Linked DNA regions of Schizosaccharomyces pombe. The protein of the gene in region 1 interacts with the protein of each later gene in a pairwise test. Each region holds a gene or a part of one and is shown in the gene's direction. Other genes may lie near its edges.

Region 1 (8,151 bases):
CCATTGGTTCGAAACTTGTTTTTCAGTGGGTTTCATACTTCTACTGATTGTAAGCGACCTACTTGCATGACTTGTGCCATTGACGATATGTTTTCATCTATTTATAATTCTAAAAACAAATCTACTTTTTACGGTCCCACTGCTGTCTTAAATCTTATGTGGAAACTCAGCAAATCTTTATGTGGTTACTCCCAGCAAGATGGCCACGAATTTTTTGTATACTTGCTGGACCAAATGCATACGGAAAGCGGAGGAGGAACATCAATGCCGTGCACTTGTCCTATTCATCGTATTTTTAGTGGATCTCTGAAAAACGTTGTTACATGCCTAGATTGCAAGAAGGAGCGGGTGGCTGTGGATCCTTTGATGGACATTAGTTTAGACATCAATGAGCCAACACTTCAAGGATGTTTGGAAAGGTAAAATTTGCTCGTTTTTAGATTTTTTAACAAATATTATTTTAGGTTTGTTTCCAAAGAGAAAGTTCAATATAGCTGTCATAGTTGCGGGTCAAAAAATGCTATTAAACAATTGGTCTTTGACAAACTACCTCCAACTATTTGCATGCAATTGAAACGATTTGAACAAAATAACTTTGCCATGTCAACTAAAATAGATAAGCAAGTATCTTATCCAGCATTTTTAAGAATGCGCTACAACTTTAATCAAGATGATGTGGATTATCAATTATACTCAGTTGTGTGTCATAAAGGAACTCTCGACACAGGGCACTATATTGCCTATACATACTACCAAAATCAAGTATATTAAATTTTTTTTGAATTTTTTATGGAAATTTTTACTAATTTTTGTAGTGGTTTTTGCTGGATGACACCACAATTGTGGAAGTAAAGGAATCGGAGGTCTTAAATTCTCAAGCGTAGGCTCTTTGCTGTTATTTTTTTACATACTAACCAGATTATAGTTACCTATTATTTTACCATGAGCGTCAAATCCTATACAGTGATGAAATGACTGTTAAAACGGAAAATTGAGTTAGATTATGCGATCAGATATCCGTTCATGAACAATCATTATGAACCATGTAAAGTAATTGACTCAAAGGTTCCTTATTTATGTGGTTATGAAACATCATCACTTCGATAATCTAACTCATGAAGAAGCTTTTAGATTTCATATTGTTGAGGCCAGAAATGGCATTGGATTTGGAACCGTTACAACAGTCGCATTTTAATTAATGACCTTACGTAAATTTATAAAAAAAGTTAAAACTATAAAAAAAGAAACATGCTTTTTTTCTTTCAAAGTTAACAAATACTATAAGTTTGAGGAATTTGGACTTTTGTTTTGTTTCGTTTAATATTATTCCAACTAATTATAATTTTATCTTTTAAAAGCTAAGTCTTGTCGTCGAGTAAGCTATTTTATATGTAACTGTTAAAATGTATAAAATTTTAAAATATTAATAAGGAAAACAACTCTTTGAATTAAGGAAGCATGTCAAGTTCACAAAATCGGTAGTTGCAGATCGTCCAAATCCTCTGGAATGCTGCAATACTCACGAATTTGATTGGTATCGGCACCCATGTCTCGACAAAAAGCTATCAAAGTATGGATTTGATCGGTCCACAAATTGGCAGCTTCCATGTACTTTTTAGTATTCTCATTTTTTAATTCAAAGGTTTCAGGATTACAGTGATTTAAATTTGAAAGTTGTGTTTTAAGAAGTTTTAGTTCTGATTCTTTTGCATGTAGCAGTTCCAAAGTGTATTGATTGGCATCATTTTCGGTTCCTTCGTTATCCCTTTTGGATTTCTCGAAACTAATGTTTTCATCTAAAGTTTTAGATTTTTGTTTCAAATCATCAAGTTGAGCTTGAAGAGATCCGAGAACTGACTCTCTTGAACGTTTAGCATCGGAGGGAAAAGACCAGTAGTAATTGCTAGTGCCAATCTTTTCCGTTTTGACGATATTGTCGTCAACGAGAGACTGTAAAACGTCCTTTACAGTTTGCAAAACGATTTGCTTTTTAGAGCCCAGCTTTTCCACCTCCTTTAGTTGAAAAAAATCTTTCTATAAAAAAAACATAGATTAGCAATGTGGAAAGTGAGACACGAATGGGCAAAAATCATGTTTTGGCACTTGAACAATCATATCACGAACTTACAGAGTCATGGAAAATGGCCTCTAATCTTCTTCTTTTCTCTGCAAGCGATAGTCCCTTGGGAGGCATTGTTTAAAAATTTATTAATTAGTTTGAACAAATATGGAGTTTAAAAGTTTGTTGTGATGCAAGAAGTAGATGCTTTCTAATCTTTTGGAGAAATGAGAGTTTAGATCCCAAACATTTACTGAATGATAACGTAGTCTGCTAAAATGCACATCCGCACTTTCCAACTATGATATATACCCTATAATGTCTTACTATCGTATTGCAACATAATGCAATGCAAAACGTTATTCAGCTATCCTAATCTTTTTGACCCTTGAGGAAATTAAGGAATTAAGTGAATGGGGTTGGCTATTGTCGCACAAAAACATGTGAGGAAAACTTCCTTTTGCCACGAAATCGAAAAGACTCGAATACTGATAGCAGCATGATTTTTTTTTTCTCAAGAGCTTTTGTCGGCGCTCACCTTACTGTACGAATTCGGTTTTACAACCTTTTATTTATTTTTCACTTTATTATTTTCACACAGCGAATTTCAAGCAAACACTGACTGACTAACACATTTCCACATACACACACACACACACATAGCATTCATAAGAGCAACGATGTTTAATGTCAGCGCAAACAAAATGTGTATTGACTTTTGATAAGAGATACTCAGTCAATTTGTCTACTAATTTCAACTATGGCTGGGTATTAACCGGTGTGCCATGTTCGCAGCTAAATGTGTTTTAATCTAGATTAGAATATGGGAGTAAGTGACAAACTTTGGGAACCGCTTTCCCATGGGTAAAAACAGGTGTGAAAAGGATTATTGTTTTTATTACTAAACAATCGTATGCAAAGTCATGCGACCAAAAAGAGCGAGTTAGTTAGGTCATTAGATAAGCTTTTGGATGTTCGTAAGCTAAACGACTTGTCGAGCTAAAGTTGTTCGAATCCAATTACATGTTTGGAGAAGACGTATAAGGAGGCACGGTTGGTGGTTTACCGAACAAATAGTAGAAGGTATAGTAGACGTGCACATGTTGACACATTTTTATTTTTAGGTGATAAAGTAGGGTAGAAGCAAGTAGTTTGTTAAATGTGCGTTACGAGCTACGGTAAACATGTGTATTATCTCGGTCCAATGGACGTGCCATCGTTCGATCGCAACATAAGCCCCGCAGTCATTCACCTCACAAACCCTCGAATCGTACGATGTCGCCCTATTCTCAGGTAACAAAATTGGATTTCTCATTGGCTTAGTGGCTAATTCACCTTGACCAGAAAGAACAATAAGGTAGTATCTGAAAAATATGATTGGATAAAAAAGTGTAATTTTGAAGTGATCAAGTAGCATGTTTTTTTACGGATTTTCAGCATAAACAAACGGTTACACGGCCATTATGTTGCATATATAATTCTACCAACTCCCATCAGTCAGCGCGAGACCCAAGTTAGCTTGAATCGTCGTCGAAACCAGCGTATTTGGTGTCAAAGAGAAGATAAATCGATTCTTCACTTGTAGAAGTACCTTAAAAAAGACAAGATCTAAAATTTCTGTATCGATCGTTGTTTTTGAAAATTGTCTTTTCAAAATCCCAATCTCATTCGTTAAGTGAAAGGAAACGTAATTTTTTTTTGTTTTTCTTTCATATTATTGTCTGTTTTCGATTTCGTTTTTAACGCTTTTTTCTATTTGTTTCATTCGTTGTTCTCGTAGCTGCGTGTTAATCAATTCATTTTTTCTTTCTCCTTTTCTTTTTCAAGTTTATTTGCATTAGCTCAAAGGGTTGAACTATTTTTATCTGTTACACATTTGTTGTTGTTGTCGTTGTTTTTTGGTTGGTCTTATTCGTTTTTGGTTGCTATCTGCTTACCCCTTACTACTTTACTGACTGATTTTATTTTTTTCGTCTGATTATTTTTTACCTGCTTTACCCACTTGAGCATTACTTTTTTTTTCATAAGTCAGGATGGCATTCTCTTTAGTTTCGATTTTATTATCGATTGCATTGGCTTGGTATGTTGGTTATATTATTAACCAACTTACCTCTCGCAATAGCAAACGCCCCCCAATTGTCTTCCATTGGATACCCTTTGTAGGTTCTGCTGTCGCATACGGTATGGACCCTTATGTATTTTTTCGCGAGTGTCGTGCCAAATATGGTGATGTTTTCACCTTTGTTTGCATGGGTCGTAAAATGACCGCTTTCCTTGGTGTCCAAGGTAATGATTTCCTCTTTAACGGTAAATTAGCTGATTTGAATGCTGAAGAAGCTTACTCTCATTTAACTACCCCTGTATTCGGTAAAGATGTCGTTTACGATATTCCCAACCATGTTTTTATGGAGCACAAGAAGTTTATCAAATCTGGTCTTGGCTTCTCTCAATTCCGCTCTTATGTCCCCCTCATTCTTAACGAAATGGATGCTTTTCTCAGCACTTCTCCTGACTTCGGACCTGGTAAGGAAGGCGTTGCTGATTTGCTGAAGACCATGCCTGTCATGACTATTTACACTGCTTCTCGTACTTTACAAGGTGCTGAGGTTCGCAAGGGCTTTGACGCTGGTTTCGCTGACTTGTACCATGACCTTGATCAAGGATTTAGCCCTGTTAACTTTGTTTTCCCTTGGTTACCTCTCCCTAGAAACAGACGCCGTGATAGAGCCCACAAAATTATGCAAAAAACTTATCTTAAAATTATTAAAGATCGTCGCTCTAGCACTGAAAATCCTGGTACTGATATGATTTGGACTTTGATGAGCTGCAAGTATAGAGATGGCCGTCCTTTGAAGGAACATGAAATTGCTGGTATGATGATTGCACTTTTGATGGCTGGTCAACACACCTCTGCTGCCACTATCGTTTGGGTTCTTGCTCTTTTGGGTAGCAAACCTGAAATCATTGAAATGTTGTGGGAAGAGCAGAAGCGTGTTGTAGGTGAAAACTTGGAATTGAAGTTTGACCAATATAAGGACATGCCTCTTCTCAACTATGTTATTCAAGAAACTCTTAGACTCCATCCCCCTATCCACAGTCATATGCGTAAAGTCAAACGTGACTTACCCGTCCCTGGTTCAAAGATTGTTATCCCTGCCAACAACTATCTTCTTGCTGCTCCCGGTTTAACTGCTACTGAAGAGGAATACTTCACTCATGCTACTGACTTTGACCCCAAGCGCTGGAATGACCGCGTCAATGAAGACGAAAATGCTGAGCAAATTGATTATGGTTATGGTCTCGTTACAAAGGGTGCTGCTTCTCCATACCTACCCTTTGGAGCTGGTCGTCATCGTTGCATTGGTGAGCAATTTGCCTACATGCATTTGAGCACTATTATTAGCAAGTTTGTACACGATTACACCTGGACTCTTATTGGAAAAGTTCCCAACGTTGACTATTCCAGTATGGTTGCTCTTCCCTTGGGTCCTGTTAAAATTGCTTGGAAGCGTCGTAATTAAGGGAATTTCCCCTAATTTGAATGCATTTGCAATACGCTTATGGTATTGGTTTCTAACTTTGGTTCCGCCTTTCTCTTTTCATGCCCGTGTTAAACGTTTTTGTTTTATCTGACGAGTAACGAATAACCATGAAATTTGCTAGACATTTTAAATTTTAAGTGCTTTATTGTTTTATGAAATTGTAAATATTTTAGCGTTTTAAATGACTATTTGGTAGCATTTCAAATGTCAAAAGAATGTATTATGCAATTTCAAACTTCCTTATCCTCGCACTAAATCGATATGAAAACTACCCTGTCATCATTAGTGATACATTTTTACGATATTATAGTTTTAATAACGTCGGGACGCTCTCTTTCGTTTTCATGTAGGCATTATAACAATAAAGTACGCTACTCTCTCTTTTCAAAACCTCATCGTGCAAACGCAAGGTTTCTCAGTAAGCTATTAATTAAAATTTTGTAGTTTTTAATTGTACCATCGATCCAACCATAGCATTAATAATACAAAGTGGGTAAAAGCGTAGGCTGCTATTCAACTGAATGAAGTTTACATTTTATAAAGGATTAGTGGTATGCTATCTTATGTGTGTCAAGTAACGTATCTGTTGTCTTATTTACTGGATACTTTTGGCATCCTTGATGGGTAAAACTTTTCTGCGTAGCAATTCGCTATTTACTTAAGTTGAGTAATAAAGGGCGTAGACATGTCAACCACCTCTATATTTCTTGACAGGTTGTGACAGTTTCAGTCTCGAATTGAAATGATATCGAGCTTTTCAAATGGTTTTTGGAGTAAAGACTACGCGACTGGTGTGAAAAAACTTTTCGATTGCCTGGATAATGGAGTTGAAGAGAATGAGCAAGGTATTTAAATAAATTAATATAGGACTTCCTCTAACAACGAATAGTAAAAAACTTGTTGAAGTTATATAAAGAAGCGAATGAGGAATTTGGTGAAAAGCTTCAAGAAATAACGAAAGAATGTCTAAAAGGGAAAAAGCCAGAGAATACAGAAGACGGTGCTACTTCTAACAAGGCTTTTGAAGGGTTGCGCTCCGAGATTGCTAATCAAGGAAAGCAACATATTCGTATTGCCAAGGACTTAGAAACGCTAATTATTGCTCCTTTCTCTAAAATGTCTATTGATCATTCTCAGAAGTTACAAACCAGCCAACAAGTTCTTACCAATCAAATAAAGAGTTATGAAAAGAAATACTATACACTTAAAAAAACAAAAAGCGCTTACTACAACAAATGTAGAAACCTTGAAGATTATGAAGAAGAATCAAAGGAGTCCAATGAAACTACTAGTGAGGCTATTACTGACTTAACAACAGTTTCTAGTCCACAGCAGCAATCATTGTTGGAAAATGATGATGATCTGATTCAACTTGGTTTTATGGAGTTTAGGCCTGAGGAGTTAAAAGAGGTTTTGGCTCAAGTATTACAAGAAATACCCTTACAGGATTATCGCGTCCCTATCTTAGGTACTTACCCTAATACATGTTCAGGAAATATTATTGTTTCTTGGCTTCAGGAAAATCTTCCTGTTCCAACTTTAGTTGCAGCCGAGGCATTTGGACAAGATTTGATAGCTCAAGGATTTTTGCGTCATATGGGCGTTGGAGGTAGTTTTGTGAATAGTACCAACTTCCATTATCAGTGGAAAGACAAGGCTTTCCAGTTTGCAGGACTGAATAGTGTAGATAGTCTTGTCGAAAACGCCAAGGCTTTACCATTAGTTGGTGAATATCTTTCTGATTATATAAGTCATCGAAAGCTTTACTCTTCAGAAACTCAATCTCAACGTCTTAAAAGAGAAGTTCTGGATGCAAATAAAATTTACAGCGAATCAGTCGTTGATCTTGATAAATGCCGCACACTTGTGGAAGAAACTATTGCTGATCATTTGCAATTTCTTCAAAAATGTGAAACCGATCGCGTTCTTTATTATAAAGATTTTTTTATGGATTTATCAACAATTATTTCGAACTTTTTGCCTTCCATGAAATTGCTGGCTGATCAGATTGTTGTTTATCAGGAAATAATTCAACCTGAGAGTGACATTAGGTATATTTTAGAGTCTGCAGCTACTGGTCCATTTTTACCTCGTGTCGAAATATATGAGGATTATTATAATGATATTAAAGATCAGATTTTTGGAGTGGACGTTGAGTTTTTGTCTCATAGAGATAAGAAACGTGTTCCCATAATCGTTAGTACGATCCTTTCTTATTTAGATCTGTTATATCCTACGCTTGCCTCTGATGAAGTTCGTCAAAATATATGGCTTGTTAATTCTCCCTTGTCTTCTGTACATCAACTTCGAGAAGCGTTGAATCATTCTTCATCCGTGACAAAGGAGGTTTTATCACAGTATACTCCCTCCGTTGTGATAGGAGTTTTGAAGCTATACTTTCTTGAACTCCCTGATTCCATCGTTCCTTCTTCTGCTTTTGAGCTTATTCGTTCAATTTACATGAATCATAGTAATGATACGCCGTACAGGTTGAGACTTTTACAAAATCTTTTATCCCAACTTCGACGTGTTAATCTTGCTACTTTGAGT
Region 2 (8,819 bases), on another chromosome or scaffold:
TAACGTCGTGGGTCATACTTATCGGCATCATTGTCAAAAATACCAAGAGCAAAATCGCCGAAAATGAAACTGGATGAAGATACAATAACGTGATCGTAAGTCCCAAGCACATAGATTTTACAGGATGCCTCCAAGTCACTGCTTCTACAAGTTCGTCTCGAATAATGAAGAAAATAGCAACTCTGGTTGCAAACCGAATTGAGTTTTGCGAAAGCAAAATCGGGTTCAGTTCATTTTGCATCCTTGAGTAAATTTAATAATCCCTCAAAAACGCTGTAGGAATTTTCTTTTAAAATCAAATATGCACTATGGATCAGAAAAGAAGAGAAATTAGGAAATTTGACACTGAGTTCTCAAAGTTGAATACGGTTCTACGTTTAAGCTTGCTATTAGCGTAGCTTGATACATTGTGTTCAAAGCCGCTGTTAGTTCAAAGAAATTAATCAATGCGTTTGATTCCTGGCTAGGGATGGAACTAGAAGAGCCTGCTAACTTATAAAAAAAATCTTAATTCCAATTCTATTGAAAATTTCTTTGGCTAACTATAATTAGTCCGATGGAAGCAATGTCTTCCCATGATTGCCATTGATTCAATTAACATTATTGCATTTTCAAAAGGTAATAATGCTTAATAAACCCACACATCTAAAAAGAAGTCTTTTTTACCGTGTCGAGAAATGATTTGCCATTATATTGTTTACCTTACAGTGTAAGATAATGAGTAGTTAAGTGGTATTTTGGTGTTCACTATTTGTTGTCCATGCAGTTTGGAACTAATTTAACGATATATAGAACTGCGGCGAGATTTCTAGCGACTTACAACATAGCGGTAAGCGGTATGTTAACTAACAATATTATATTTATTGTTATAAGAAGTCTGTTAGTATCGGTCACCGATATAGCTCATAACTGAACTGTGAAACGAGGTTCAGTAGAAGCTCTATTTACAATCTTACTAATAGTTTTTATCAACGGGTATCTATAATACAATGTAGAGCTTGTGACATATAGAAATACGCAACATGGTGTATCATAGAGTAGTCCAGTATTGCTGTCATTCCTAACAGTCGTTTACTCGTTACGACTTTCATGCTCTCTCTTGTGCTGAAGGCTTGTTTTCTGCTCTATTTTTCATTCAAGACGCTGAAAAGCGAATAGATAGAATGCGATTTAGTTTAAGAGATTTTCGCGGTTCAGGAAAGAAGTTTTCAACATTTTGCAATAGGAATGAATCAGTTCCCAAGTTGAAAGTCATTGGTTTCATTAACTGAGCGTCTCATTTGCAGATATTTCGTTGAATGTCAAAAAGGAAAGAATTAAAGCGATAATTAGTATGCTTTAAAATCCCTCCAATATTTGCAATTAGGAAAATTTTGCCTTAAACTGAATTTCGTACTTTCTACTGCTGCTATAAATGATTATGATCTTTCTGTCTAAAACAACAGGTGCTTGTTTACTGACGCTATACATATCGAGCTTACTTATACATATATTAAGACTTAGGTAAACCGTTTATTTTCACAGCGTCTAAACTGTTTAACGAAATATAGATTTTTAAAGATAAAGCTAGCGAAAAAGGAAAACAGTATAATAATAATAATGAATTATAAGCGGCCATTATCCGAAATGAAATATGAAAATGCAACAAAATAACAGAAAAAAAGAGATGATGAATATAAATACAAAATCGTAAGAGAAGAAAACAGAAGTATGCAAAAATGAGAAATTTAAAGTTGTCGTAAGTAATGGAAAACAGAAAAACAAAAGAAACAAAAAAGCACAGTAACAAAATATTTTAAATTGCCTCGTGCATGACTTAATCTCATCATTTTCATTAATAAAAAGGAAATTCGTGTTAAGACTGCACTAATCTTTTAATTTTTAATTTTTTTTCAATAAACCGAATTTCTTAAGAGAATGCACTTGTGAATATGTAGTATGTATTAAATCCTCATGGGGTATGGGGTAAGATCTGCCTGGAATCCAGCAATGTTATGCCGTAAGTAAAACATTTCTTTTGTTTCCAAGCTATCGAAGCAACCTAGAGGCATGGTAAGATCAAAAAGAGGCTGCATATAACCACTCTTTTTAACATTTTTGAATTCCAATTCTTCGCACACATTAAGGTCCTTTTTGAATTCTTGACGCCATTTTTCCATTACTCGACGCTTGGTGTTCTTTTGAAAAATTTCACAGTCAACCGATCTAGAAAGGAAAGGGCATCTCAGTTCAACAGGCAATACTGTTTCCATCACAGTATTGGCTAGATAATTTTGAATGGGAAACGCACGTGCGTGATTACCTATAGAGAGCATAAACAACAACCATCCAACTTCTTCTTGACTTATCGTTTTGCTTTGGAAAATTGGTTCATTGCTATATTTTGGTAAAGAACTTTTAACACTAACTTCAGGACTCTGCTCCAACTGGATATTGCACATGTAACTTTTGTTGCAAATGGCGGCCCAACTAGTTTGTCCTTGGAATGAATAAACGTCTCCCGGTCGTACCAAGTACATTCTAATATTGCCAATCCGCTTTTGTACGCACCAAAGATGAAATTTCGTGTACTTATTGGAAGTGACCTGCCGGGACACGTAGATGATCATTGCTCTCCATAGGGAGTCCTTCATGTCGTCAGTGTAATAATCGTATAGTAAAACATGTCGAATTAATACTGGCAAGCTATAGTTGCCGGTAGAAAAATGCATCGAAAGGCTTAATCCATCTACTCGATTCTTCTTTAAAAAAGCCCCTAATCGTTTCTGCACCAAAGGCATATCTACTTTGAACTCGTACACCTGTTCCTGCATCGGTGAATATTCAGAAGACACTTGCTCAACACTTTTGAGATATAGTTTATCCTGTCGACGCATAACAATATCCACTAACCCCCCTAAAAACGGATTCTTTATGAGACCTTTATTTCTCCCAGACACTACTACGATACCCAAGCTTTTACCTGTTAAATTCTCGATGGATAGATTACGATCCAACTTGGATAACCAATCCTGACTCGTAACATTAATATTCACATCGCCCGTAGCCTTAGCAGGACTGTTGTACTCGGCTTTGCGAGATTGATAGCCCGGATCCGATTTAAAAAACTGCTGGATTTTCCTTGTAGTCTTTCTCAAGAAAGAGTTTTCCTGACCTTCATCATCAACTTCTCTCAAAATATCCAAACCCGATTGATTAGATATCGACATATTGTCGAATGTCGGTAAAATACTTTGAAACTTTTAAAACTTCGAGAATCGTAGAAAAGAAGAAAAAGGATACCAATATCCAGAATCTCAAAACCACAGTGCGTCCAACTTAAAAATAAAAGGTAATGAAATGAAGTAAAAAAAAAAAATTATTAAAATTTGGTTCTTTCCAAAGGGCTTTGTTTCCTGTTAAATACTAAATATGAAATCGTTTATCTTAGCTTAGCCATTTTGCCATCTTCATCATGCTTTTCCTAACAACGCTCCCCAAGCCACGTAAAACATCAACTTTCGCAACTCGTCCTATTTCAAGTTTACGAAGACATCCAATTTCCTAATCGTCTCTACCCTATAATATTTTGTATAATCATGGTCTAAGCCATTTCATCGTAGCGATGAGCCTCTCGTAAGTTAATTAATGGCGCAGCATATCAATTTTAATCAACTTGTAATAGAATAGAGATGATCATGCTGTCTATTGCTTATAGTTACAAGACTAGATTTCCTTTCTCAACATGCAATAAGGATTGAAAAGTAAAAATGAACTACTTGTATGAAATTTTCGTTTTCGTGCTTAATTCATGATTATGACCTTTTGGAGTCAGTGACATACACCGTTTCCATTGACAGACATTATTGAATTTTTTTTTTACAATGGGGCAACAGTCAATGTTGGCGCAAGCTTAAGATGCAAATGCAATCTTTCATTTAAAAGCGGCTTGTTTCATCAATACATTTGACATTTAACGATGGCTTGTAGGCATTGTTGTAGACATCCACTCAGCCTACATTTTGTCAATACTTTTCTACACAACTTCTCAAACTCGTTCCTTTGTAGCTTAAAAATTAAGCGAACTTAAAAACTATTAAACTTTTTGTTAAACGAATTATTTGCATAAAATACCAAAAAGATTTTTTGTTGACTTTCACCTAACAAATTAAGAGCGGTTGGTTTTATTAAAAAGAAAATTTATTAAGATATTTCTCATTGCATTCCACTTCAATGCGTCGTAGAGCATATCATAAGTAAGGCTCTAAAAATAAGCCACAAACACTGATCGTTCTTCTGGTACAATGGTTCAAATTTTTTTTTTCTAGGAAGCTCGAAAAAGAAAATACAAACAAAAAAAAATTAAACAGCTCATTTCTTCAAAAACTCCTTTTATCCTCAATTTGTTTGAACTTTGTTCTGACAACCCGCTACGAATTGGCTTGGGACCCTGCTGACGGTCGGCCTTTTCCCTATTCTCACCACGAGCACCGTGGGGAAACTGTATAGTCGAAATCTTCGAGTTTTCTTGCTCAACATTTCAAGAAAACTTTTATACTATTCAAGTGTATCTAATTGTTACTTCACTCGTTATTTAGTACTTCTCTTTTACTTTGTCAAGCAGCACAAGTGTTTGATAAAGGTCATTCTGTATAAGGGGTCCTCTGTACCATTACACCTTGTACCTTGATATAAAAGATATTTACATGCATTTTATTTCCGTTAACTCACAGAATATCAGTTGTTTGGTTTTCTTCTTACGTGTGCTGGTTTGACTTGTTGTTTCCCTTTTTTTTTTTAAATTTGCACACACAGGATTCTATGAGAACTTTGCATTAAATGGTATAATGGGAAATGGAATCTAGCCGATTGTTTACACTTGGATTGGGAAATTCCGATGATGGATTGAAATCCACTTTTGGTGATAAAACAGTAACTTGTTTTTATTGCAACAAGAAGAAGGAAAAAATTAGAGACGGAACGTCTACTTGGACTTGCTCAATTTGTGAAGCCACCAACCATATTGATGAGAAAGGTGATATCCTGGATTATCGACCTCCAACCCCAACTCAAGACAAGGGTGTTGGTCCTTTTTACGCGATACGGGATTTCCCAAGCAGTTCTTCCTTTCAGAGCCCCTTTTGTGAAAAATGTCAAATGAACCAACTGATTGTGAATCGGATGCTTGCTGATTATCTGCCAGACTCATCACATCCAGATTATCAGGCTTATGAGAAGGCATTACCAGAGTATAAAAAATCTATAGAAGAGAAATTTCCCATTGTTTGCTCTGAATGCTATGACTCCGTTCAAGACCAACTTGATGCCAATGATTATGAAGCCAAAAATCAGGTTTTAGGATATTGGCTGCAAAAGTCAAAGGAACAGCTAAACGCAAAAGTCCCCCATCACTATCCAAAAGCTTCTTTTGTTCTTTGGTTACTTCGTGGATTTGGTTTTTCGTTTTTCTATTTGCAATCGATTGTGTGGCATTTGTATCATTCTATGATAATAAGCTTATTACCAGATGGTATTCGTAATTTATTTCTAAAAGCAATCTCTTACTTCCTATTAGATGGATCCTCTAGCAAAATTTTTTACTTTAATTGGCTTGGTTTTTTCGTTGTCTTTTGGAACCCGTATTGGTACAAAATGATGGACAATCCATCTTGGGAGCTTTTTGGGCGGGATCAGTATATCCAATGTCAGGCACTTTATCTTATTATCCGTTTAACTTGCTTGTATCTCCTTTCATGTTATGAGTCGGAAATTTTGAACTTAAGCTCGGATACCAATCTTGAAAGTGATTTTTTACTCCGTCAAATACATGCAGCCTTTTTCTTTGTTACCATTTGTTTTACATGGATTAGCATCTCATGTTTAAAGCCAAGTCCTCCTCCAGAAGTTCATTTGACTGGCGAAATTTTGAAACCACGCAAGAAGCGTCAGGAAAGTACATCTTCTGTGCATCGGATAGGAAAGGAATCGAGTGACAGAAAAGATGGAATTAGTGGGCAGAATAAATTGCAGCAATTTGCGACAATTTCAATTCTGAATAATACCAACGCAACGTCTCATTTGGGAAATCAGTCTGTTCGTGAGAGAGCTCCGGAGGAATCCCCTATGACTTTTCTTCAAAAAAAAATGGCCGCCCTTCCAACATCTAGTCCTGTTCGACCGATGCTTAAACCTACTCTTCAGCTTCAAAATTCTCCTTTATCGAAACTGGTTCCTCAAGAAGTGGGCAACAAAGTAAACGATTCTATTCATACGACGTCTAATCAGCCAAGTAAATTTTCCCTGAACCCTTCCATATCTCTAAAAGGTGATAACGTGATAGAGAAGAATTTACCTTTTTCCGTGTCTACTTTAAAGTCCACTGCAAAGAAAGATACTGGTAAAGCAGGGGATGGTCAAAATCGCGAAATTCAAAATGAGCCAGTGAGCCTTGAAAGTCATTTTAGTAAGTCTTTAGCCCTTCAGAACGATCCAACAGAAGTTATTCAGGTGAAAAACGTTCTTCACCGGAATCGTCGAAATGCAAAGCTTCTCATTGCTTTCACAATTTTGTTCCTCGTTGGGTTAATTTGCGGATGGCGTTTGAATCGTTTTACTATGTTCATTTACTATTTATGCATATTGGTGTTAGCCACATATTATGTTATGAAACACAACTTTTATCCTTTAAGAAAGGTGGCTTGATCTGGTTACTATTTAAAGAAGTGGATGCAAAGTAATATGGAATATATTCTTTTGCAAACCAATCATTCATTAATTTATCCAATTTTGGAATAAATTTCGTTACTAATATTGCCAGAGGCGGTTATGTCGCTATCATTTGTTTAAAGTTTTTCAGCTCCTTTCTGGCAACTCGACATATTCGAGCTAGCGCATTCGCACAAATGGGATCCAATATAAATTTACTTTTTTTTTCCTATTAAAGCTATATAATTAAGTATTTTTCATACTAACGAGTTTTATTTGATAAATTTCATTCGTTTCAATAGGTTAGTACTGAAAGAGAACATGTAACCTGAGCAAACTTCTGGTTCATACGAATACTAGCAATGGTGCATTCCCGAATATATGTTAGACACGTCGTTAAATTAGTTTAGGTTATAAAATCGTTAGAGTTAAACAATAACTTAAGAGAAATGAGCCGAGAATACTAGGATATTCAGATTTTCATTACTTTCTAATTCCGCTCAGGATTCTATGTGCAGGTAACATCAGGTGACCGAAGGATTCATTGGCATACTATAGGGCCATGAGATCTTACCTTCTTCCAATATTCAAAACTAAGAGTTTTATTGATTTCAGTGCAAATTTTGTAGTGACGAAATTTTTTTTTGCTGAAGTGATTGTTTAAGTATGAAACCTGTGTCTCTTGCCAAGTATATTCAAAAATCACCATTTTTGACGAAATTGCTTTTACCCATCTCCAATGCCTATGTGCATTTGTCAGGATACCGTAAATATGGTCTTCGATACGACGATTTGATGTTGGAGGAGAATGACGATACTCAAAAGGCGTTATCTCGTTTGCCTAAGATGGAATCCTACGATCGAGTCTATCGTATTCGCCGTGCCATGCAACTTAGCATTGAGAATAAAATTTTGCCAAAATCTGAATGGACAAAGCCTGAGGAGGATTACCATTACCTCAGACCTGTTTTAGCTGAGGTTATCGCGGAGAGGAAAGAGCGTGAGGCCTTCGACGCTCTCATTGTTAAGAAACCCGAGACTCAAGCCCATGCAACATCTTCTCCTGCTCATGCTCATTAAAAGTTTGCATGTCCTCCTTTAATCCACTTATTCCTCTCATGAAAACCGACAAGAAAATTAAAAGAGTAGTAAACGGATGTGAGAATTTTATTTTCTAAGTAACCCCCAACTCCAATTTCTAAAAAGGAAGACAATTTATGCACGTATCTTATTTCATCGGTTATATCAGTCGACAAAGTACGTGGAAACGAAAGTTTTTATATTGCTGTTTATCTGTACTTTGACTTTACTATGTGTGCGATTAATTTTCTACGCCGCTCTGTTTTTGCTTTGCTCTATTTTAACTACTGGTATATCTCCCATCTCTTTGACCTCTCCTCTCTATGCTTTCAGTTTTCATATTTTAATTGAACAACGATTTTTTCTTATTTTTTATTTTTTGTAGCTGCTTTTTCCTTGACTGTTATCTTTGAAAGAGAAACAATTTTTTTGTTTCTTAGTTTCGCTTTCTGAAGATGATTTTGCAATTATTCTCTCGCTGAATCAATTATAGCTAATGGTTGGTATAACATAAGTTAGTGAACAAAACATTGTAAGGCAAACCAACTAATGTAGTATTTTTTTTAAATCGTGATATCAAATTTTAAACTTGTTAAACAGACAAACTTATTTTGAGAAATTTTATGACAGTTTGGCATTGTATTTATTGATTTAATTAAGCTTACTCCTATTTGACTTTAGGCATACTCTTCCTTGTACGACTTCAAGCTCATGAGCTTTTCACTATCTGAAATGTTGTACCCAGAGTCATAATATATGAACCTCCGATCGACGTAAAGTATTATTGAATTTAATTTTATTTATTTCCGCGTTTGTTTAACTTGTTTGAGGAACTTGAAAAATTACAAGAAAATCATGTACAATTTTGTTCGAAATATTTATTGAATATGCAGGGGAAAATCAATTATAAAGACATTACTCAGAAAGAAATGTTCAATGAAATATTTAAAGAATATGTTAAGGAAGAGAAGCAGATCGATTTGGGTACTTGTGATCAAGATTCTGTACACGACCTCTGGCGACGCTTTGTAAAAAGATGGAATGATGGAAAAATG

The links.
Region 2: the proteins of erg11 (region 1) and ima1 interact in a protein complementation assay, tested with the Schizosaccharomyces pombe proteins (one large-scale study listed by BioGRID).

What each region holds. Positions count from the first base shown.
Region 1 is NC_003424.3:572,564-580,714, reverse strand, and holds erg11 (sterol 14-demethylase), read left to right. Parts: upstream 1-3,561; 5' UTR 3,562-4,092; coding exon 4,093-5,580; 3' UTR 5,581-6,063; downstream 6,064-8,151. Other genes in the region: SAGA complex ubiquitin Ubp8, read left to right, coding at 1-419, 465-762, 816-880, 926-995; protein Mcp7, read right to left, coding at 1,468-2,034, 2,129-2,194; putatiRho-type GTPase-activating protein Rga8, read left to right, coding at 6,344-6,446, 6,491-8,151. UniProt on the Schizosaccharomyces pombe protein: Sterol 14alpha-demethylase that plays a critical role in the third module of ergosterol biosynthesis pathway, being ergosterol the major sterol component in fungal membranes that participates in a variety of functions.
Region 2 is NC_003421.2:1,886,487-1,895,305, reverse strand, and holds ima1 (inner nuclear membrane protein Ima1), read left to right. Parts: upstream 1-4,441; 5' UTR 4,442-4,833; coding exon 4,834-6,681; 3' UTR 6,682-7,203; downstream 7,204-8,819. Other genes in the region: SPOM_SPCC737.05 (peroxin Pex28/29), read right to left, coding at 1-241; SPOM_SPCC737.04 (uncharacterized protein), read right to left, coding at 1,944-3,209; qcr7 (ubiquinol-cytochrome-c reductase complex subunit 6), read left to right, coding at 7,351-7,764; SPOM_SPCC297.06C (uncharacterized protein), read left to right, coding at 8,652-8,819. UniProt on the Schizosaccharomyces pombe protein: Inner nuclear membrane protein that specifically binds to heterochromatic regions and promotes the tethering of centromeric DNA to the SUN-KASH complex.